Macaca mulatta: one gene and its partners. The protein of the gene in region 3 interacts with the protein of the main gene of each other region in a biochemical or structural test. Links are inferred from orthologs where the notes say so. Each region holds a gene or a part of one and is shown on either strand. Other genes may lie near its edges.

The links. The genes of interacting proteins can lie anywhere in the genome.
Region 1: the proteins of CCND1 (region 3) and CDKN1C form a complex in vitro, tested with the Homo sapiens proteins (2 studies listed by BioGRID). The link is inferred for Macaca mulatta from reciprocal best matches to the Homo sapiens genes CCND1 and CDKN1C.
Region 2: the proteins of CCND1 (region 3) and ESR1 form a complex in vitro, tested with the Homo sapiens proteins (2 studies listed by BioGRID). The link is inferred for Macaca mulatta from reciprocal best matches to the Homo sapiens genes CCND1 and ESR1.
Region 4: the proteins of CCND1 (region 3) and CDK6 form a complex in vitro, tested with the Homo sapiens proteins (3 studies listed by BioGRID and IntAct, with this or other methods). The link is inferred for Macaca mulatta from reciprocal best matches to the Homo sapiens genes CCND1 and CDK6.

Annotation. Positions count from the first base shown.
Region 1 is NC_133419.1:2,789,246-2,795,203, forward strand, and holds CDKN1C (cyclin-dependent kinase inhibitor 1C), read right to left. Parts: upstream 3,939-5,958; 5' UTR 3,924-3,938; coding exon 3,056-3,923; intron 2,522-3,055; coding exon 2,391-2,521; coding exon of another isoform or gene 2,386-2,390; intron 2,304-2,385; 3' UTR 2,299-2,303; coding exon of another isoform or gene 2,162-2,298; 3' UTR 1,605-2,161; downstream 1-1,604. UniProt on the Homo sapiens protein: Potent tight-binding inhibitor of several G1 cyclin/CDK complexes (cyclin E-CDK2, cyclin D2-CDK4, and cyclin A-CDK2) and, to lesser extent, of the mitotic cyclin B-CDC2. Negative regulator of cell proliferation.
Region 2 is NC_133409.1:70,390,864-70,396,766, reverse strand, and holds the start of ESR1 (estrogen receptor), read right to left. Parts: upstream 3,939-5,903; 5' UTR 3,806-3,938; intron 1-3,805.
Region 3 is NC_133419.1:5,014,295-5,020,063, forward strand, and holds the start of CCND1 (G1/S-specific cyclin-D1), read right to left. Parts: upstream 3,564-5,769; 5' UTR 3,360-3,563; coding exon 3,162-3,359; intron 1,632-3,161; coding exon 1,416-1,631; intron 829-1,415; coding exon 669-828; coding exon of another isoform or gene 639-668; intron 1-638. UniProt on the Homo sapiens protein: Regulatory component of the cyclin D1-CDK4 (DC) complex that phosphorylates and inhibits members of the retinoblastoma (RB) protein family including RB1 and regulates the cell-cycle during G(1)/S transition.
Region 4 is NC_133408.1:126,534,513-126,540,453, reverse strand, and holds the start of CDK6 (cyclin-dependent kinase 6), read right to left. Parts: upstream 3,939-5,941; 5' UTR 3,813-3,938; intron 3,160-3,812; exon of another isoform or gene 2,365-3,159; intron 1,302-2,364; exon of another isoform or gene 1,140-1,301; intron 1,028-1,139; 5' UTR 660-1,027; coding exon 427-659; intron 1-426. UniProt on the Homo sapiens protein: Serine/threonine-protein kinase involved in the control of the cell cycle and differentiation; promotes G1/S transition. Phosphorylates pRB/RB1 and NPM1.

The DNA of each region.
Region 1 (5,958 bases), about 2.2 Mb from region 3:
AATGGCACTGGGCCTCACCTTCACGTCCCCACAAAGCCCTCACACTGCTTTTGAAAAAGCTACCCTTGAGTGATAAGAGGGTGCTGGGCAACCACATGTCCCGTGCCCAGGGGCCAGGACTGTGAGAAGTCAAGCAAGGTAGGAGCCCCACCAGCCCCGGCTGCAGCAGGAGGCCTGGCAGCAAGCAGATGCCACTGTGGATGATGAGGATCCACCCTAGCAGATCGGTCACCAGAAACAGTTAACTCAGGTTACCCTGTGCACCCACGAACTGCCTGCCAAGCACGTGGTCCAGCCTCCTCCCAGCCCAGGGCAGAAGGCACTGCCACCCTCCTTTATCTCAGAAGGGAAAGGGCTTTGTGCTGCTCACACAGGTGAATGCTGCGGTTTCTCCACTGGGGAGAGGTTTGAAGGTTGAAGCCAGGTCTACATGGGTCTGGTCCCTCGTTACCATCGGCTGAGGGTCCCTGTTGCTGAGACAAAGCAGCGGGACCTGCCACTCTCAGGTCCCAGGGGCATTTCCCAGAGTCTGGCCCCAGCTGGGCCTCGAGGCCAGCCCCTTCGCCCTCCTTGCCCAGCCCTTCCAGGCAGCTGGGGGAGGCTCAGTTAATTATATGTCTAAATACATCTCGAGCATCTCAAGTTGAGCCCCCCCTTTGTCCCTGACCCAGTGCGGGGCCGGCGGGGAGGGAAGTCAGCAACTGTCACGTAGGGCCCCATGAGGGTCCACCAGCTCTTTTCTTCTCCTAGCCCAAGGCACCAGCAAAAACACTGCTAGCTGTTCTGTTTTTGCTATTTTACGTCACCCTTTCCATTGTAAGCCATAATTTTCAGAGGTTTATAGGTCAGCTATTAAAAAAATAATAAACGTCTCTTTTACCAAGAGGGAGCGCTTTGAAACTAGTCGGCTGGTAGGGCCCAGTGTGGGTGCACAGGGAGGCACACAGCCTCGACTTCTTCCACCAAAGCCTGGTCATCAGAAACCACCCCTCCCCATGCCCTCCTGGTTCCAGGGCACCACCCCTTTGTGTTCTCATTTCTCCCTCTCCTCAGAGGCTTCGAGGCTGCCCCCCTCCACTGCAGGTGTGACTAGACCTTGAACATTTTGGGTGTTTTGTGGCAAGACCTAGGGAGACCCTGGTGCAAGGCCTGAAGAAAAGTCTGTAGGACTGGATGTGTCTTGGTGGAGTCCTGCTCCCCACCCTCCACCCCAGCACATCCTCAAACTAGCAGGGTCCTGAGCCCATCAGCTGGGGGCAGAGGGGTTTCTCATGGTTTCCTTTAAACAAGCCTGAGTCTGGGCAGCAAGTCAGGGGCTGTGCTCCCTGCCTGCTGGGGCTATGTGAAGCCCACGCTTGTCTTTCTGCAGCCCCGCAGGTGGGAGGTGATAAATGCAGGGTGCACTGCAGGCCGGCCGCCCCTCCTGAGATAAGGGAACTGGAGCAGGTGGATTTGGGCCAGGCCCAGCCAGGAGAGAGGCTTCCCCTTTTGGATGGACTGGGGATGCCCACTTTGGCCTGCTCTCTCCTGCGTTCTAGCTCTCCAGCTTTTGGGGGTGCAGGAGAAGGGAGCTGGAGGCAGGCACAAGCACAAACAGACTGGAGTTGCAGCATTTTTCGGCCTCTTTATTTAGAACCCGGCGGACGAGGGGCCGGGGCAGTGGTACAGACGGCTCAGGAACCATTTTAACAGATTTGTCTTCAAGTTTAAGATAAACACAGTAATATAAGAGAGCGAGCGAAAGCGCGAAGAGACTGCAAGCTAGATGGGCATGTATGGCAGCTACAGCTTGTGAGTGACCCCTTTCCCCAGAGTCCGCGATGGAAATAAAGTTACACTTGTCAATAACCGGATGTGGGAGATGGATGGTGCCTTTGGCATAACCAATAACCAAGCTAGTGCGTGGCAGAGCGGTCCACGCCTGGACATAAATAGAAAATATAAGTTAGTATAACTTTAAAAACTTTTTGTACAAATATACATGGTTTTTTTATTTTTTCCTTTTTTTTTTCTTTTTTCTTTTTTTTTTGCACTGAGTTTCAGCAGAGATTAAACATTTTATATAAATGACTCTTAAAGCTTTACACCTTGGGACCAGTGTACCTTCTCGTGCAGAATACATTTAGATATAAAAAGACGTTATTAATACATTGCACAGTTTTCAAAATTTAAACACAAAACCGAACGCTGCTCTGCGGCAGCCGCCGCCGGTTGCTGCTACATGAACGGTCCCAGCCGAGGCCCAGCGCCCTTCCAACGTCCGCTGCCCCGGCAGGTTCCCTCGGGGCTCTTTGGGCTCTAAACTGTGGGGAGAAGGGCGGTCAGGAAAGCCGGCGGGGACCCCGCGGGTCAGCCCCCCGCACCCCCCAGGTGCGCTGTACTCACTTCGCTCACCGCAGCCTCTTGCGCGGGGTCTGCTCCACCGAGCCCACTCCAGGGGCGGCGCTGGGAGCGGGACACGGCGCGGGGACATCGCCCGACGACTTCTCAGGCGCTGATCTCTTGCGCTTGGCGAAGAAATCTGCGGGCGACAGCGCGCGCGGCCGGTCAGGGCGGGGCCGGCCCGGAGCCCCGAGAGGGGGCCAGGAGAGGGCACGGGGCGCGGGCCGGCCGGGGTGGGGGCGCCGTCCCCGCCCGCGCCGAGGTCCGCGGCGGGTCAGCTTTGTTTACGTCGCCGCGCAATGTGCTGTGTAAGCATTTCCCCTTGTCCCGCGGCCAAGCCCCCCGGGGCCGCCGCCGCGCTTAACCCCCTCCGCGCCGTGCTCACGGAGCCCGGCCGCGCCCGGGGAGGGGCTCCCGCGCCAGGGGCGAAGACCGCGCTCCCGGGGGGTCGCGGCCGGGACTCAGCCTCCCACCCCGCCCGCGCAAAGCCGCTGGAGGACATAACAACGGGGCGGGGAGGGGGGTGCGGGCGCAGCCGCGCCCTGAGCGCTGCGGGCCCTTTAATGCCACGGGAGGAGGCGGGAACCCAGCGAGGCCCCCGAGGGCTGGGGGGACCGGCCGGCCGGACAAAGCGGGGCCGGGCCGGGCCGGGGCGGGGCCGTGCGGGGCTCACCGGAGATCAGAGGCCCGGACAGCTTCTTGATCGCCGCGCCGTTGGCGCTGGCGGCCGCGGTGCCGGCCGCGGGACGTCCCGAAATCCCCGAGTGCAGCTGGTCAGCGAGAGGCTCCTGGCCGCGCTGCCCCTGGTTCGCGCCCTGCTCGGCGCTCTCTTGAGGCGCCGCGTCCTGGGCCGGGGCCGGGGCCGGGGCCGGGACGGGGGCCGGGGCCGGCGCCGGGGCCGGGGCCGGGGCCACGACTGGGGCCGGGGCTGGGGCCGGGGCCACGACTGGAGCCGGGGCCGGGGCCGGAGCCGGAGCCGGAGCCGGGGCCGGGGCCGGGGCCGGGGCCAGGACCGGGGCCGGGGCCAAGACCGCGACCGCGACCGGAGCCGCAACCGGAGCCGGGGCCGGGGCTGGAGCCAGGACCGGGGCTGGGGGCGGGGTGGACGGCGGGGCCGGGACCGGGACATTAGGCAGCTGCTCCGGCGCCTCCTCGAGGCCGTCGAGGGACTCAGCGGCCGGCTCGAGGGGCGGGCTGACAGCCACCGCGACCGCGACGGGCCGCGGCGCCAGCAGCAGGCGGCAGCGCCCCACCTGCACCGTCTCGCGGTAGAACGCGGGCACCGAGTCGCTGTCCACTTCGGTCCACTGCAGGCGTCCTGGGCCCCGCAGCGGCATGTCCTGCTGGAAGTCGTAATCCCAGCGGTTCTGGTCCTCGGCGTTCAGCTCGGCCAGGCGGGCCTGCAGCTCGCGGCTCAACTCCTCGTGGTCCACCGGCCCGAAGAGGCTGCGGCAGGCGCTGGTGCGCACAAGTACTGGGAAGGTCCCACGGGCGACAAGACGCTCCATCGTAGATGTGCTGCAGAGGGACGCGTCGGACATGGCCCGGGGCTGCGCGAACGCGGGCAGCGAGAGAGGAGAGGACAGCGAGAAGAAGGGGAAAGGAGAGGAGGGGAGGGCGGAGGCCGGGTGCAAGGGAGACCCCGCGCCGCCCGACTCTGCGTGTGCGAGGGACGCGGCGGCTACCTGGCTGTCCGGTGGTAGACTCTCCTGCGTCGGGTTCGTCTGTCTCGTTCGGCCGGCAGCCGCGCCCCCTCGATGCCTGCTGGCTCGCTCGCTGGATCAGACCTGGCTGGCACCCCTCGAGCACAGCGCACTTGGCCTGTGGAACGCCCAGCCCGCCTGGGCCCCCTTTATACGCGCGGGCCCCACCCCCGTGCGCGCGGGCCCGGCCGCGATTAGCATAATGTAGTATTTTCAGTTTCAACAACACCGCGGCGATTGGCTGCCTCCCCGCTGCCCCGCCCCTCCGCGGCCCGGCCCCAGAGCACCGCCCATTGGCCGCGCGCACACCCACCGGGGGAGGGGCGGGGCGCGCGGCCGGGGCGCGCGGCTGATTGGCGGCCGCGGGGCGAGCGCGCTGTAGCAGGGGAAGGGGGCGGTGAGCGGGGCGGGGGCGGGAGTTAAAGGGCGCTGCGGGCGGTAACGTGACACCGCGACGCCCCGCCCCCTCGCCCCATCCCCCCTGCAAACCCCCCCCCCCCGCTCCCGCCCCCCGCCGGCTCCTTTGTCTGCAGGCGGGGGCCTCAGCCCTGCGCGGCAGGGGCTGGCTCCCGGCGGGTCCAGTGTCCGGCCAGGCCCAGCTCGACCCCGGCCCGGTCCGGACCCCAGCTCCTAGCTCCGTCCCGCGCTCGCCCCTGGGCCTCCTGCGCCAGCTGACAGGGCTTGGACCCGCCGCTGCCAGCTTGGCCCTGGCCTGCGCCGGATGGGGTCTTCGGCTGCCCCCGCGCGGCCTGCTGCTGCTGGGCTGGTGTCCTTTCGAGGGCTCCGCGCACCTGGAGCCCTCACACACCTGCTGGCCCTAAAGCCCTCGAGTCGGGAGGGAGGACAGGGGTCAGCTCCACTCTTTCCCCGTGGGACCATGTGTGGGACACCTTGAGAGACTCCCACCAGCCCCCTGGAGCTGGAGTCTGAAGCCGCTATCTGCGGAGGTCCACCCTGCCCAGTAGATGGAACAGAGGCTGAGCCCATCATGTCACTGTCGGGGGTCCCAGCCCTTCTCAGCCTTGGGCCGGACCACTCCAGCCCCGGAATCTGCCTGTCCAGGCTAGCTGGAGGCAGTTGTACTGGGTAAAAGTGAAAGATCTGCCCGAGGTCACAGGGGAAGGGGCTGTGAAGAAGCATGCCCCTCCCCCGCCTGCAGCCCTTCCTGGTACAGACCTTGGTCGTGCGCACACGCACACACACACACACACACGCGCGCGCGCGCACACACACACACACACACACAGTGCTTCACCCCAGCCAGGCCAGACCAAGAGAGACCATTATTTCCCGCTGCCTCCCTTTTGACCCACTTACCATGAGGCAGGAAGCCCCCTCCTGAAACCGGGAGCCTCCCAGGTCGGGAGGGGGACTGTCAGACACCTGTTGGAGGGTCCAGCAGCCCATGAGCTCTAAGCCCCTATCTCAGGTGAGCCTGTGAGCCAGCCAGAGAGACATCTGGGAGGGAGGGAAGGTGAGGTCCCCTGAACCCCAACCAGCCTTCCTCTGAGTCCCAAGACACCCCCACCCCCATGAAATGCTGTGACATCGTGCAGATGCAGCTGGGGGAGCAGGGCTGGTCTTCTGGGTCTTGGGGAAGAGAGATCTGAAGTGAGGGGGGCGAACTGGACAGGACAGGGTGTTAACCCAGGAGAGGGGCCAGAGCCACTCTTGGCTCTTGGCAGAACCAAACGCGACAATTTATGTTAATTTCATATTCTTCTCTGCGCACAATTTACAAATTTCCTTCAACAAGCACAGATGTCACAATTTTCATCTTAGGAAAACAAAGAGAAGCTGAAGAAGGCTCCCCAGGCCTTGCGAACCCATCAAGCAGGGCTCATATCAACTGGCCTGGGGGCAGAAAGAGGCA
Region 2 (5,903 bases), on a different chromosome or scaffold from region 3:
ATATGTATGCTTTAAAAAAAAAATAAGAAAAAGAACACCTATATGTTGTCCACCCAACCAAAGATCTAGAAAATGCAAGTACTTCTAAACAAAATATTTTTGCTTCTGCCTGTTTCGAATTTTAATGGCTGGACTCCTACTATACGTATTGTGCTGAGACTTGGTATTTTGTGCTTAAAATTTTGATGAGTTTTACATATTTTTCATTTAACCCTCACAACATGAATAAAGTTTTGCAGATGGGGAAACTGAGGTTTGAAAGGGCCAATAGTTTGACAAGAGTCACTTTCTAACAAGTGGTAGAAGTTGAGTTAGAACATAGAACTGTACCTCTCAAAAGCTTAGCCACTGAACTGTACTGAAACTAACCGCTGTACTGAACTCACTGCAAAATCATGAAGAAGAAATAAAGTCACTGCCTCGCAAAGTTAAAAGTTTAGGAACACAATTGTACCCTTTCCCATTGCCCAAACTCTGCTGTATTCACTGAAGTTGCCAGCCCAAGTCATACAGTCCTGTGGAGTTATTAGGAATTTTACGTTTTCCTATAGAAAGGATTTGTTCAATTCTCCTGCCAGATGAGCACATGTAAAGAATGTCCATTCTGATTTCTCTGAAACTATTGAATTCTAAAGTGCTAATCTGATGACTATACCAGCATATCTATTTTAAGATGGACATAAAATGGACATACAGTAAGTGCCAGCAATTCCTGTGTTCTTTTTACCATATTAAATAAAGATATCTTTCACACAAGCAACTGTCAGTAGTAATGTTTTACTTTAAAGACTATTATGCCTGATAGTTCCTTTTGTTTTATACCTTTTGCCTCCTTAATTTGGCTTTAATGATCAGTCATAATCTGCTATGAATTTTAGGGATAAGAAGTTGAATGAATGTGTACATCACATACATTCATTTTCTATTCTTTTTTCAGTTTAGTTGAAAGTCACACTGTAGACCTTTAGATTGTTGTTTTGAATAGAAAGCTCTCAGTGAGACTGGAGCGTTATTACAGAAGACATTGCTTGGTGAATTACTCCTATTAAGGGTCTAATTCCCAGACGGTACCCACAGTGAGGGAGTGGAACCTTCTTTTAGAGGCTGACTCATGGAATCCTATAGATAAATGGGAACACCAATTCATTAGCATTCATTAGCCATGAGAAACTCAACGGTAAAAGGCCATGAGAAACTCAATGCTATAAAGGACTGGAGATTTGCATCATTGGACAATCAAATGGGAAACCACTTTATGAATGGAACTTTGCAGGAGGAACAACGGAACCAGAAAAGTGGGGAGCTCTTGGCTGACTCCCAGTAGGAAAGACCTGTCACTGGGACTAGTCATCTCTAATGGTTAATACTTACCTTAGCAGGCCAGGCGCAGTGGCTCATGCCTGTAATCCCAGCACTTTGGGAGGCTGAGGTGGGCGGATCAGCTGAGGTCAGGAGTTCGACACCAGCCTGGCCAACATAGTGAAACACCGTTTCTACTAAAAATACAAAATTAGCTGGGCATGGTGGTGCATGCCTATAATCCCAGCTACTCGGGAGGCTGAGGCAGGAGAATCACTTGAACCCAGGAGGCGGAGGTTGTGGTGAGCCAACATCATGCTACAGCACTCCAGCCTGGGCAACAAGATCGAAACTCGGTCTCAAAAACAAACAAGCAAACAAAAAAACTTGCCTTAGCATATCTTGGTTTAGTCTCCTTGAGCTTCCTTCTTCTAAGCCTTAGCCTGGCCATCTTCAGGAAAACCTGTTCTTGCTTATCTATGCCTACATGTAATATGATATTTAAAACCTGGATTTAGACTCAAACTTGGCTGATTTACCAGCTCTGTGATCTTAGTTAGACATATGAATCTTCTAAGCCTCAGCTTCCTTATCTGTAAAGCAAGACAAATACTCTCTTCCCACAGGTGTGTGGGAGGATTAAATGAGATAACTTTGATACATTTAGAACAGTTATGCACCAAACTCTATTCTAAAGACTGCTGTTTATCTTATGGAGTCAATATCATCATTTTGTTTTCCATCCCACATTGCCAATATGAAGTGTATATTTATAACTGAGAATCAACTATTTTTACTGAATGAGGAATATTAATGAGAATGATTTTAACCAAAACAGCAAACGGTGGCACTGGTGTGCTGTGTGTGAGAATAGCTCAGGAATACCAGAGGGGAAAAGGATTTCAGAATCAATAAGTACTTTTGTGAGCTATTTCACAAAAATGACATGAAAGAAAATATTTAGAGATACGGAAAAGGTCAAACTAACCTGAAACTCAGTTTTATTGACAAAAGTTTAAGTTACCTTTAGCATATTTCATCATCCCATAATCAGGACCATCAATAAATATTTACTGAGTGCCTACTGCAGTCAAGACACTGCAGTGTGGGCTGCAGTTAATGTCCAGGTGATGGGAGAATTGCTTAGAAGTACAAGCAATTGTACTTTCCTGGATGACTAAAATCTAATTGGAGAGTCAGGCATAGCATAAAAATAAATCTATAGAAGAAAAATCAGTAAACAAAAGTAGCCTACAAAATTTTCCCATGTTTTTTGGGATGCACTTATATGGCTTTAAATTTTAAAAATATTTTGAAATATAAAGCTTAAAAGAGTGAACAACTTGGGTCATCATACTTTTTTTTTTTTTTTTTTTTTGCCAGAACCTCACTAGAGGAAGATATTAGATTGGATGATATGAAAATGTCAATATTTAACCTTTTTTACATCCAAAAAAACCCCAAAATTTCATGTGGTTCAACCTTGATTTCAGTAAGCTATTTCTGAAAGCTGGATACATGTTGAAATATGAGTAACATTTGCAGTCCATCTACTCTGGACTCATGCTAATTCCTTCTGGGGCCTTTTCAGATTCAAGATAGATTCGCAGGAAAAAATGCATAATATTTAAACTGACGGACTGGAAAATTAGCATGAAAAGTTCACCAGTGTTATGGAAAATTTCACCCAACACATTTCGTAAAGAACAAAAACCTAAACACACATGGTAGATCCACTTCAGCAAATCATGTTAGTGCAGCAACATTATCCAACAACAAAATTTTAGAACAATTTTCTCCCCAAGGGACTCATTTTCCTTAGAAAATTATGCAAAGTGTGAACAACTGTGAAATACAATTGTCAACCAAAATATTCAACTTGACAACAGATTGAAAACTGTTACAATGTAATATAATTTACAATGACTAAAATTTTAATTTTAATGGGTAGTACCCATAAAAGTTGTCTAGTTTAATTAATTTCCCTTTTTCATTGGTGCTGTGGGTCTTAAATTTGTATTTTGCTACATCTTTATAAAACAACTTTAAATTCTCACACATTAAATTTCTCTACAACTGTCTATCTAAATCAGAGTTTTTAATGATAAAGACATGTGATGCCCCTGTATGAATAGACAGAGAAAAAATTAAAACGAACAAAAAATGTATTCCCCCTGTGTAAGATATAGACGTTTTTTATCATTGAAGACTTGTTTGGCTAACTTTACAGTCCAAAAATTCTCCTAATTTGAAAGATTGTCATTATAAATTAAAATCTCTGAAAACCTCCAGACTATGTATTAAGTCTTTGAAGATATCAACATTGTGCCCATATATATCCCATAGCCTTGCCTTGGTATCACCTTGTGAGACACAAATGTTCTTTCTATGGCATGTGCTTTTATCCTGATGTGTGAGGCCTTGGTCTGATAACCTCCTTACATAGTCATCTTAATATTCAGTTGCCCAAGAGAAAGTTAATAGAGTAGAAAAAATTAAAACTTACCTTCTTTGGTAGCTACAGAATATAATTCACAATCAAAGGGATTGGTATCAGATTTTGGAGATATTTGAGGCTCTGCGATTATTTCTCTGACTGCTTAGAACCTTAGAATCTACCAAAATAAAATCTATTAATCAAATATTTTTTTTGGACTAAGCTTACACAGTTTGTTCAGGCATTGTTAGCATGTCTGGAAGAGTCATCTCTGCTTTCGGGAAAATTACGTTGACTGAAAGAAAGCACAAAACAATCGTCTCAAAACCGTCAGTAATTTTTCTAAAGGATGTCAAATGTGCACTTCACAGCGAGGGAAAATGTTGACCAATACTGTTGTTTGTGATAAATACATCACATCCTAGTGAAAATGTGGTATAGCAGGTAACAAGTTTCCATTCTGTGCACTAGAACTGAAAAACTGTACCTAGAAAGGATATTCTGAAAAATACTAATTATAGGGACAAAGCCTTAATATTCTTAATACAAACAGCTCTTAAAAGTCTATTTTAAAAATGGAACATGTGAACAGAAAAACTAATAAAAATTTACAAAGGACAAAATAATGGAGACCAGTAAACATAATTTTTAAAGGTCACTGTTAATTGGAGAATTTCAAATTTTTAAAACTGTGTGCTATCAGGTTTTAAATATTTATGGTGGTTATAATGTAGGAAGTAAGCATTCTCAAACACTGCTGGCGAAGTATAAAATATTACAACCTTCCTAGAGCACTATGACTTTATTCAAAATCTTAAAATACTCAAAGGAAAAAAAAGAGCTTTCTTTCACCTACAGTTCAAAATAACATAACTTAAAACTATATTATTCCTAGGCCTATATATAACAAGACATCTTCAAAATGTTGCCTTCTTATGCATGAATATGATGTAATTCTACTTATTTAGATCTTCTTTAATATTTCTCAAGAAAATTTTGCCTCTAATAAGTTTTTCTACATCTTATGTTAGATTTATTTTCTAATGTTATTGTCTTTTTTCTGGTATAGTGAAATGACATTGACTTTTGTATATTAATTTTATATCCTGCCTTCTTGCTGAGCTCTCCTACAATTTCTAATAATTTATCTGAAGATTCTTTGGAGTTTTTTATGTAAATGTATATATCATCTGAAAATAATTAGTTTCATTTCTTCCTTTTCAATCCTTATATCTGACTCTACAATTCTCTAAATTTTTGTCATATATATTTTGAGGCAGCTTAATTGGGTATGTATACATGTTTAGAATGGATATTTCTTGGTGAATTGAAACTTTAACCTTTTGACTTCCTCTATTACTATAATGTTTTTTATCTAAACATGAGCTTTATCTGATACTAATACAAATGCACCAGCTTTCCTTTGTCACTCTCTGCAGATTTTTCCATCTTTTAATTTTCTGGTTACGTGTATATGCTTTAGGTATGTTCACACGAAAAGCATATATCCAAATTTTTTAAATCTCATTTAATAGTTCCTTTCTTTCAACTGGCAAATTTAACCTATTTATAGTTATTGTGATAGTGATACATTTACACATCTTTCTACTATTTTATTTTACTGTTTCAATTTGATTCAGGATTTCTATTTCTTTTTAATGCCTTCTAATTCTTAAAAGTTCTGTGTTGATACCTTTCCCCAGCAAGTCAAGAATTGAGCCCGATCTCACATCCCTTGGCCTTCTCCCATGTTTTCATCAACCCCCTTACTGTTGATACAATCTAGAATTTTAAGTTTGAATAATATTAATGAAGTTTTCCTTTCTATATTCTTTGGTATTTCCCATATTTTTATGTCAACAAACTTTACTAAGTCATTTGACTATCTTTATTTCAAAGCATCTCGTGTGTGTGTGAAGGTGGAAAGTCTTGGGTACCAAAAAAATTGCAGTTGATCATTCCCTTCCCCATTAAATACCCACTCCTGTTGGTGCTTCATTTCCAGCTCCCTGCAGCCTGGCAGCATTAGTGGAAGATTTTTTTTTTTTTCCCCAGGTCATTTTTTTTTTTCTTCAACTGCCTACTGGCAGACAGCTCCTCACTGCCTGGACTTCGCCTCTGAGGACAACCTTCTGGGCTGCAGCTCTGGGGACAGACACCAAATGTC
Region 3 (5,769 bases):
GGGGCCATGCCAGGGGAAGTGAGGACTGGGTGCTTCTGCTGCCTACGGTGGCGGCCCAAGCTGAGACTGCTCTGAAGCACCCCCCAGGGCTCAGCTGAGCCCGGCTGGCTGGCAGCACCCCTGGCAGGGCCTCAGGCAGCAGAGCTCCTCTGCTGGACACCCCTGCACTCGGCTGCCCAGAGCACGTGGTGCAGGCGGGCCAACAGCTCTCCCCGCCCCTGGAGGCGTCTCTGGCAGGTGGCCCAGCCTGGGAGAGGCCAGGAGGGGGCCCTGCAGCTCAGGCTCCTTAAGGACACAAGAAGGGCTGGAGGTGGGTGGGGAAAGGAGGCGGCCCTGCAGCCAAGGTAAACCCCTTTGAGCATGGAGTGGCCACAGGCTGCCTGGCCTGGAGGATGAGGCCACAGAAGCTGGACACAGGCAGGCCGAGCTGTCCACACCGATGCCCAAGGTACTGCATGGTGGCCGTGAGGGAGCAAATCCCCTTCCATCCAGCACAACAAATAATCCAGGGCCTCTGCTCACCAGAGCTGGAAGAGCGCTTCCCAGCGCAGGAGGGAGCCTAGGGACATCTTCCCAGACATCACCCCGGTGGAGAGCGAGAAGCCGGCCAGGGTCACCTAAGGAGCTGGCTCTCCAGCGGAGGCCGGGGGCTGCTGGGCCTACCCTACCTGTGGCACAGAGGGCAACGAAGGTCTGCGCGTGTTTGCGGATGATCTGTTTGTTCTCCTCCGCCTCTGGCATTTTGGAAAGGAAGTGTTCGATGAAATCGTGCGGGGTCATGGCGGCCAGGTTCCACTTGAGCTTGTTCACCAGGAGCAGCTCCATTTGCTGCGAACACAGGGTGAGCGGCCATCAGGGGAGGTGCGGGCCGGCCCGGGGGCGCGGGGAAGCCGGCAGCATGGGGGCCCGGGGCCATGCAGCACCTCCGGCTCAGAGCACTGGCTCCTGCGTCTCGTGCGGTCCTGGAGGTGGGAGGGGAGGGCTGGCGAATGATGGGGGTGGTATCGGGGAGCCGGGGCAACACGCGATCCCAGATCAAAACAGAAAAGGTGCCCGCTGCGTGAAAAGACTCTGCAAGTGGAAACAAAAAGACCTCCCACCACCTGAAACAGGAGGCTCAGTGCGGAGCGCGGCGCTCCTCGTGCAGCCGCTGGAGGGCGCGCGCCGCCCACTTTTCGGCCACACTGCCGGGCGCGAACGCGGTGGGAGTCGCAGGCAAGCGACTTGGGGGCGGTGGGACGGGGGCGGCTAGGATCCCGCCCGCTCCCGGGACAGGGACGCCCGGCGGCGGGGCCGCCCTCCCTGGGAGCAGATATGCCAGAGGCGGGCCGGCCGCCACTGCCTGCACCTTCCCCGGCCCCGTGATCCTGCGTGCGACTCTCGGGGGGCAGGGGGCGGCGGGGTCCCGCGGTTACCAGCAGCTCTTCGGGCCGGATGGAGTTGTCGGTGTAGATGCACAGCTTCTCGGCCGTCAGGGGGATGGTCTCCTTCATCTTAGAGGCCACGAACATGCAGGTGGCCCCCAGCAGCTGCAGGCGGCTCTTTTTCACGGGCTCCAGCGACAGGAAGCGGTCCAGGTAGTTCATGGCCAGCGGGAAGACCTCCTCCTCGCACTTCTGCTCCTCGCAGACCTGCGGAGGCACGGGGCCCGTGACCGCCGCCGCCAGGTCGCGCCGCCCCACCCCCGCCCCCGCACCCCCCCATCGCGCTCGGCAGGACCGCCAGTTCTGAAGGGCGCCGAGGGGTGGGGGCCGGGGGCGGAAGGACCTTCCTGTGATGCGCCCCCTCCCCCGCGCGTCCCCAGTACCCACCCTCCCCGAAACTGAAAGGGAAAGTCCCCGCGAGGCTGGCACGGTGGGGGCGGGAGCGGGCACAGCTGGGCGGCGTGCGCGGCGGCGCGGGCTGCCAGCCCTGGGGACCCCGGCCCGCCCTGGAGCTCCGTGGTCCCTCTGACTGAGGGTCGACACCCACTGGGGTGCGGGGCCGCGGAACGGGCCGCGGGGTTGGGCGCCGCGCCTGCGAGACACAAAGGTGGCGTCCCAGGCCGCCGCGCCGCATTTCCCCAGACGTCATCTTTTCAAAAAATATTTAAAAATATTAAAAAAATAACTAAGTGCATAAAAAAACCCTGAAAATGACCCTCGGGCGACCCTTTACCCAGGCCGAGGGTCGGGAGTTCGTTACAGGCTCCGGGGGGAGCCCCAGGAATTCAAACTCCGGGGCCCCCCTTCCCCCTGGGCGCGGGCGGCGTTTCCCTCTCGCAAGGGCACCACGCCGCACTTTCAAAAATTATTTAAAAATACTTGCGGGCCCCTCAGGCGCCCACCGAAGGTCTGAAAATGTGCTCCCAGGCCCCCGGCTCCCTCAGAGAAGGTCCCCCAAGCCGAGATCCCTGCAGACGGGGATCAAGCCCTGGCGTCTTGGGGGCCACGCGACCTTGCAGCTCGGCGTGCTCTCCGGCCCTGGCTGCCCATTTGGGGCGCCCCGGGACTCGCTGCTTAAACAAAGGGCCCCCCTTCCCGAGCGGGGTCCCCCCAAAACTCCCCATGCCGCGTCCCTGCGCCCCTCCCGCGGGCTCCCGGCGGCCGCGCGGCCCCTAGCTGCGGCCCCAGCGCCCGGCGGCCGCTCCCCGCCCCCACCCTGCCCCCAATTATTAATAAACACTTTTGCTTTGCAATAAAAGAGCAAAGATGGCGCATAATACTGGCACGAGCGGCCCTTGCATACGTGTCCATGGATATTAATTTAAAAATCAAATCTATGCCCCCTCCCCCCGGAGTTGGCGGCTCTCGGCCGCAGCGGCCGCGAGAGGAGGCGCAGCCGGGCTGGGGCGCAGGCGGGGGGCACAAAGCGCACTCAGCCTGCCAGCCCGCACCCTCGGGCCCATTGGGGTGCCCCGACACTGGCTTCTCCCGACGGCACCCCTCCCCAACCCCCTTCTCCCCTCCCACGAAACGCAACTTATAGCACCCCCACCCCCACCCCTTCCTGCTTCAGAAAATACCCACAATTTTTATTTTTAAAATGCGGATCCCTAGCAACACCACAGCAAACTTCAAAGTTCTAGCGGGAGAGAAGGGAGGGGGGTGAGGAGCAAAGAAACGTGGGTCTGGGCAACAAGTTGCAGGGAAGTCTTAAGAGAGCCGCCCAAAGCCCCGCACCTCCAGCATCCAGGTGGCGACGATCTTCCGCATGGACGGCAGGACCTCCTTCTGCACACATTTGAAGTAGGACACCGAGGGCGCGCAGGTCTCCTCCGCCTTCAGCATGGCCCGCAGCACCCGGTCGTTGAGGAGGTTGGCATCGGGGTACGCGCGGCGGATGGTTTCCACTTCGCAGCACAGGAGCTGGTGTTCCATGGCTGGGGCTCTGCCTGGGCAGCTAGGGAGGGCTGTGGGTCCGGGCTGGGTCCGCGCTCGGCTCTCGCTTCTGCTGCCCCGCGCTCCCTCGCGCTATTCTGCCCCTCGCCGGAGCGTGCGGACTCTGCTGCTCGCTGCTACTGCGCCGACAGCCCTCTGGAGGCTCCAGGACTTTGCAACTTCAACAAAACTCCCCTGTAGTCCGTGTGACGTTACTGTTGTTAAGCAGAGATCAAAGCCGGGCAGAGAATGGGAGCGGGAGGGGGGCGGGGGCGGGCGCAGGGGGAGGGGGCGCGGGCGCCAAACGCCGGGAGCAGCGAGGGGCAGAGCCCAAAAGCCATCCCCGAGGCGCCGCGCCTGCCCTGCGGCGGAGTTGCCCCCGTAGTCCGGTTTTCATAGAAATGCAAATCGCCCCGCTGCAGCCTTTCTCCCCGCCAGGGAAGAGGGGTGCAGGGGGCCCCGTCCGCCTCGAGTGGGTTCCCTGGGATTTAGGGGGTGAGGTGGTGGTGGCTCTGCAGTAGGGGACCACTAGGAAGGCCGGCAGGCCACACGCAGCCTGGGGAGACCACGAGAAGGGGGGACTCTAGGGCGCGGCGACACCCCATATCCAAGCCGGCAGAATGGGCGCATTTCCAAGAACGCCACGAGGGCACCCACGGGCGGACAGACGGCCAAAGAATCTCAGCGACTGCATCTTCTTTCATTTTCATTAACACGTGTAAATTTCAAGAACTATTTAGCATACAGGGACGGGGAGGACCGGGCACACAACCCCTGTGCAAGTTTCATTCCGGCGCACAGGGGCGTCGTTGCAAATGCCCAAGGGGGTAACCCTAAAAGTTAAAGGAATTTCAGCTTAGCATGCGCTCGCTCAAAAAATAAAATAAAATAAATGCCCGAAAATTCCAGCAGCAGCCCAAGATGGTGGCCAGCATTTCCTTCATCTTGTCCTTCTAGCCTGGAGACTCTTCGGGCTGCCTTCCTACCTTGACCAGTCGGTCCTTGCGGGGATCCCCAAATGCACCCCCTCCCTTCCCGTGCCGGCAATTTAACCGGGAGAAACACACGTCTGAATGGAAAGCTGAGAAACAGTGATCTCCGTTCTGACTCATTTTTTTAATTAAAAAAGAAATTAAATTGCTGGAAATATTAGTCGCCTCAGCCTGGGACAAGACCACTGGAAGGTTCCTAATTGGTTTTGTTGGGGGTGTAGACGTCCCTTCACCTTTAGAGTTTGCCCTGGGACTAAATTCGTGAGCATGAGGGGGCTGGCAGGAGCGGGCATAATTCAGAACAATTATCAATTAAACAAATGAGTGTACTGATCTGATTTTTAGCAAAATCGATAGGTGTTCGTGGTTTCATGAGAGGGTCCCCACTACCGCAAACTTAAGCAGATGTAAATTAAAATACATAGTTTTTAAAATAACAGGTTCTGTCTCTTTGGTGCATTAAAAAATAAAAGGACATTTTACTGTCTTAACTTTTGTTTTTGTTATTTTAATAGTACCTGCCCCAAATTAAGAAAACTGTTCATTTACTTCCTTTTGAATATAGTTTAGTGTCATCAAACCACCGTATCCTCTTAACAGTAAAAGCTCAAAGAAAACGGATAGAAAAAGTCCCCTCCCCTTCGCCAGGGTGCTCACAGCAAGATGCGACCCCCCCCACCCCCCACCTTTCAGGGTGAATTCCTCCCGTGCCCCCTCCCCCGCCGGGAATTAGGATTACTAATATTCCGGGTCCTGGGGGGTAATTACCCCCAGATTCCGCATGGGGAGCGATGGGTGGCCCCAGCAGGGAGCACCCACGGTCGTGTCCCCCCCACTCCCCGAGCACCCATAATCGCTTTGGCCCCAGCATAGCCAAGCCTCAGAGCATCAGCCCGCGCACGAGGGCGGCCCAGCTGCTTTTTCATTCATAAAATCCCGACCCGGCGGCCGCCTGGATGATTTATGGGGCCCGGAGCTATCACCCGGCCTCTCCCACCCCGGGGGTCGAGGGGCCCCGAGCCCCGCGTGCGCCCTGGCCCAGCCCGAGGCGCGAAGCGGGCCGAAGTCGGCTAGGGGCAGCACGGCATAAAGAGGCTCGCCCACTCCGGCAAAACCGGCTCTGGGTCCAGGAGGGAGCTTCACCCCCCCATCCCGGGCGCAAGACAGAGGAAACTGGAATTAGCATGAGCCAATGGGGGCGCGGCGCTGTTACTAGGCGGACCGGGCAGATCTAGGCTAGGAACTTTGTTGATTTCCCGGCTCAGGGACGAGCGCAAAATTGCAAGCCCGGCTAGCGAGCGTAAAGAGCCGTCCAGGAACCCGCGGGGGAGGCGCTGGAATTTGGGGCCCGGCGGGGAGCGCCAGCTGTCCAGCCTCCACCTGGGGGAACCCTGCTTAGCGGCCCCCGGGTCCCCTGA
Region 4 (5,941 bases), on a different chromosome or scaffold from region 3:
TCCTCATTCTCCAGTCTCACCTACTAGGTCTTTCAAAAATTCCCCAACGGCATGGCCAGTAAAAATATGCGGGAGCTAGCGGGGCATGTCTCCGGTTGGCTTATCCTGTCCCTAAAACGCACCCACCTCCCCCGGACCCTCCTTCAGGGAGGGCACGGAGAAAACGCTTCTAAGTTGCACAGCTGCAGGGAAGCCTGCGCAGGTCATGTTTTTTGACTCGTCTTTCGGCTCGCTGTCTGGCAAGGTCACCGGTTCTGGCTCGCGGCTCTGTCGACAAAACTTAACTCTCACTCTGTAAGATCAACAAGTCGCGCAGGACCTCCCCAGTCGCCCTCTGCCCCACACCTTTCTGGGCCTGAGGATTCCCGGCTCGGCCCTCCCCGCGCGCGCGGCCCCAGACTGCAAGGGCGCAGCTCCCTGGCTCACCTGACCACGTTGGGGTGCTCGAAGGTCTCCAGGTGCCTCAGCACCGCCACCTCGCGGATGGTGGAGAGCGGCATGCCCTCCTCGCCCGTCTGCACCCGCACGCGCTTCAACGCCACGAAACGGCCTCCGTTCTTCAAGTCGCGGGCCTTGAACACCTTCCCATAGGCGCCCTCCCCGATCTCCGCCACGCATTCGTACTGCTGGTCAGCGCGGCACAGGCCGTCCTTCTCCATGCCGCCTGGACGCCGCCCGGCGCGTCGCCGCTGGGGCGGGCGGGGGGTGCGCTCAACTAGCTGGCGGCCGCCACTAGCCTACTCCGGGGCTCCCCGGAGATTGGTCTAGCTTTCCTTGCTCCCTGCTGGCTCAGGCGCTCGGGCGCTGGGGCTCTCGCGGCTGCGGAGGCTGGATGGAGCGACCTCCCCGCGGGGCTGGCGTAACTCTGGTGCCGCCGCCGCGAAACTCCGCCTGCAGAGTCGCTGCTGCCGCCGCCTGAGAAGCGAGCCGATCCCTCCTCTTCCCTCCCCGAAGCGAAGTCCTCAGCACAGACAGAGACGATTACATAGCCTCTGCCCAAGGGCGTCTCAGTCCAGAATCATTGCACCTAAAGGAGGAGACGGGAGGATAAGAAGAAAGTGCAATCAGACAGCCCAGAAGCCTTCCTCGGGGTTCCTCCAGACTCCCCTCCTCCTCCTTTACGAAGCCTCCATCGCTACCCTCCGCGCGCTCCTGCCCTCTCCCAAGCCGCTTAATCCTTCCTGGTTCCTCCGAGAAAAGCGAAGTTACTTTTCTTTCCCTGCAGGGCTGAAGCCGTCTTCGCGCGGAGAGGTTGCAGGGGCCCCTCGGGGATGAGCGAGCGGCGCGGGACGCAGTGGAACGGGAGGGGGCGTGCCGAGCAGCCCAGAGTGTGCCGGGAGCGCGGGGGAGGGGAGGCGCCGGGCACGTCAATGTCACGGCTTAATATTTATCCCTATATCATTGTGTTGCGTCGCTACCCTCCCCGCCTCCTGAGGCCCGGACGTGCAGGGAGATGGGGTCCAGGGGTGCCGGAGGGCGTTCAAGGGTCGCGCACAAGCTGGAGCGGAAGGACTGTGGGTCCATCCGTGTGGGGCCGCAGAATGTGGGTGGGGGCTCCCAGGACCCTGTAACCCGATGCTGTGAGTGTGCGAGAAGGGGTGGTCAGACATCTGCTCAGAAATTGCTTCCTTTCTTTCTACTTTCAGTTTTTCTACGAGGAGACATTTAAAAACGACTCGCATACACAAATGGTCTCTTTGGGGTAAAGGAGTCTCGGTTGGAAACGGAATTCTCTCTCCGACTGGGAGGACCTCCCTGGTGGAAACCTTGGGAAGACCAGCCATCTGGTCGGGGAGGGTTGGGGCTAATCGGGGGTGGGCGAACGAGAGGTCCTGGGGGAGGGGAGACACTGTCCCCCACGGGATCCCAAGGGTGGGAGAAAGGGGTGTTCGTCACAATTTCGCTTGTCGTCTTCTTAAAGAATAATTTCAGGAAGAGGATAGCTTAATCGCGCCTCGTCCTGAAGTTTTAAATTGATTTCGACCTGAGCAAAACTCAACCTCTCTTTCAAAGGGTGGGGGGTGGGGGGTTAAACCCTGCGCCTCCAGGGGTGAGAAACAAGGTCTCTGCCCTCGGGGCCCGGACTCGCGAACCTTTTCCCACTCCCAGGACCACCCCGCTGTAGGTAGCGGAGGTGGCTGCCCCATTCCCTCTCCGGCTAAAGGCCGGGTCCAGGCTGCAGCCGGACGCCCCCGGAGCCCTCTGCATAACAAAGCGCCGGAGAAGGGTACCCTAACTTTCCCTCCCCATTCAGCAGCTATCTGGGACCTAGGGAGCCTCCCTCCCCCACGGCCGCCGCGGCCTCGGCAGGACTTTCACCACGCTGGCCGCGTGTCCGGAATTCCCGGGGCACCTCGGAATTACCTGCCTCGCAACCGCTGCCCCGCTCGCCTTTTGCCAGGAATTAAACAAACGGCGCGACCCCCACGATGAGCGCGTGGAGCGGACCGCGGCGAAAGCAGTGCTTCTGGCACTCACTCCATTCAGAACTTTCCTTAAAAGCCGAGGAAAGAGCCCCCAAGGACTGCCCGGGCGTCTGAGCCAGGTCGAGGGCCACACAGGTAGCCGGGGAGCCGCCGCCGGCCGCCCAACCCGCCTCTCCTGCGTCCCCCCATCCCCCTCCCGCTCGAGTCTAGCCCCGGGCTCCGCAGCGAAGGAAGCGTCGGGGACGTCCCACCCCCGCAGGGAACTTCGCCTGCTGCCCCCGCCGGGCCCCGCACTACCCTGACTCTCCCCCCACTCGCCCCCCAGACGGTCGGCTTCGGCGGAGAGAAACGGGAGCAGCAATGCCTTTTCCCCCCCTCTCCTCCACTTTTTTTTTGTTGTTGTTGTTGCTTTCCCACGCTGGCTGAATGTGACTTGACCCCATTTCAAAAAAAGTTTGACATAGTGCTTCAACATTTCCGCATTCCTCCGCGACTACAAAGGCTGCAGCCGCCTCCTTCTGCTTTCTGTCTCTGCTCTCTGTCTTCACACTCAATGAAATCCTTCATGCGCCTCTCCCGAAGCCTGCCAAGCACCACAAGGGTCGCCACCAGCACGGCAACAAGAGGCCACACCGGGGACCGCGACTCCCGCGTGTGCGCACACGCAGATGCGCCCATATGCACACGGACGGGCGCCCTGCGGGGACAAGGGCTGCTCACCACGGGGCGTGTGTTTAACTCCAATATTTTAAATGATAAAAGTAAACTTGGAAACTAAAGCAAACGTGCGTCTTCGTGGGGCTCCAAGCCTGGGCACCGGCCGGCTGCGTGCACTCTTCTGTGCATAACACGCCCGCAGGAAGCCTGCGTTAACATTTATCTCGTGGAGGGGAAGGTGGAGCCCACACCCACACCTCAGCGAGCTGGCGAGGGAGTTTTCGTGGGGGAAATGCAAGCACATTCTCCAGCATGGAGTCCCTAGAGGCAGTGCATTTTGAACCCTAAATGTGAATTATTATGTGAATGTCCGAGTAGAGTTCCAGTTCCGTTTGGAGAAACTGGATGAGGAGTGTTCTGTGTGAGTGTGTGTGCGCACGGGTACGTGGAAGCAGGATCTCGGTGTCGCGGGTGTCCCTAGCGTAGGATCTCCCCCTCTCGTCAGATTAGAATCCTCTAGCTCCCCAAAACTGGCCCCCATAACCAACGCCGTCTCAGTTCGTAAGGGGTTAACCAAAGCCGATTCCAGGGAAACACAGGTCCCCCCCACCCCCCGCCAGCCTCCACTTACCCCACCCACAGTTCTGCCTCGGACCCCGGCCAATCCCCCATATCTCCCCAGGGACCCCCCACCCCGCAGCCCACCCACCCGAGCGCACAGCTCCTCACCTGAGGGGCCCAGTCGCGTCGGGCCTCCTGAGGGGGCTGCGAGTGTCAGTCGGCTCTCCGCACGTGTCCGCGGCCTCGCGGAGCAGGTAATCAGACTCTGGGGAAGGAGTTACCAGCACTCTCTCCGGCGAGGGGGTGGGCACAGCGGCGGAGGGCGGAGGGAAGGCGGAGGGCGCCGCCCGCGCCGCTAGCTGGGGGCGGACGGGGGCCGCGGGGCTCTGGCCGGCGCTGGGGGCCCCAGCCAGGGAGGCAGCGGGGGCGACCGCGCGGGGTGGGGGCAGGGACCCGAGAAGCCAACTCTGCCGGAGACCCACCCAGCGGCGAGGCTGGGGGCTCGTGGCGCAGTGGCAAGAAAGTGTGCAAATTAAAGCCTTCCGGAGAGAAAGGAGGCGGCCAAGCCCCGGCAGTGCTCCGAGCTCCGGGCTCCCTAGCTCCCTTCTACGAGTCGGGGGCTAGAAAGGCGCGGGGCGGGGGGGTTGGGGGGGCAGGGGAGTTAAATGAAAATTTCCGGCTTTCACTGAAACTGTAGTAGGGGGATCCTGCGACTAAAATAAGCGGCGTTAGTGGGAGAGAGTGGGACGTGTCGTCGGGAGTCGGCGGAGTTTCCAAACCCAGGGTCGCCCAGAGTTGGGGTTTTGACAGGGTGAAGCAGGGGGTATCCTCACTGTGTGACGTGGACGGATGGGAAAAACACAAAACAACTAACAATAATTATGAAGGGCCGATGGGGGTGGTAAATACCAATACTTTCCAAGAAACTGAAAAATCAGACCAAAAAATAACTCTTCTCTTAAAAAAATAAAGAAAAAGTTTGGCAGGATGCCTTGCAGAAAAGAAAATACTAATCTGTTCAAGCACTTTTCACTTTCAGCATGAGCTACATTTGTTTTGTTTTCCTTCGCTTCCTTTCTGCCTCACAAAGCCCTATCTTTTCCTTTTAGACAGAGGGTATGGTTTGGAAATTGTCAGGCACTCTTATGGTTAACGATCTACTTGAAGGGGCTGGCGGGTTCACAATTATTAAGTGGTTAGTAACTGCTGAGGGTTCACTAACGTATTTCAGAGGAGCTAAAAAGACTAAAATTTAGTGTAAATAATAGAACTGCAGATAATAGATACATACACAGAAAGAGGAGTGCTCAGTTTAAATGCATTATTGGAAATCTGAAATTTGAAACCTTGTAAGAATGTATACTTTACCTGCTGAGAAACCCTTGAATACAATTATTTCAGGTGAAAATGAGCTTTTGGAGAAAAAAAGTCTTTAAAACCTTCTACAATGGAGTAAAAGAAAACTTGAAATAGCTGTCTTTTTGGAAAGAATTTGGTGTTCTCCCCAAAATCTCTATCTGTAGAATACTTGAAACCCTTTAAAACATATTAAAGAAAAACTTTTCACAAAATTATTTACTTCAGTGCTTTGTAGAAAAATTAAAACCCGGCAAAATTCTGTTTGAATTGGACATACTACTTCTATAAATCTTTTGACTTTAAAACCATGTTACTGATCTCATAGTAAATCAAATTTTTGCCTTTATAAAATTGATTCTATATTATAGTATAAGGTAAGGCTAGGGAAATAAAAAATTGATGCATTTCCAGTAGCACATATTTTGCAATGCATTATAATATTTTTTTCTTTAAAAATAAAAGTGAATAATTGTATGTCTTTAAGCTTAAGATAATTCATAAAATACATTTGTGTTAAGAGCATGTCTTCTAAAATAAGATCCAGTTTTCTGAACAAAATTTGTATTTATAAAGCTATCTATAATCTCATATATCTTATAAATTTAATAAGGCAAATCATTAGATTTTATATTTACATAAAATATTAGATCACTACAAATCACTAGACTTTAAGCCAGAGACACAAATGGGAATCCTCCATTTGGATAATTGTTCACACTTACCATTTGCCTTTTAAAACAAGGTTTACTTGATGGTAATTAACACGTTTATATAATCCAGAAATAATTGCCAGTAAATAGGAACCAGCACATCATGGCTAGAATTTATTTGAATAAATCACTTATTTAAAAAAAAAATAAGCTACAAATATCTTTTAAATGAACAGAGAAGTGTCTTTTCTACACTGGGTTGAAGTTTTAATTACTGAATTTGACAAC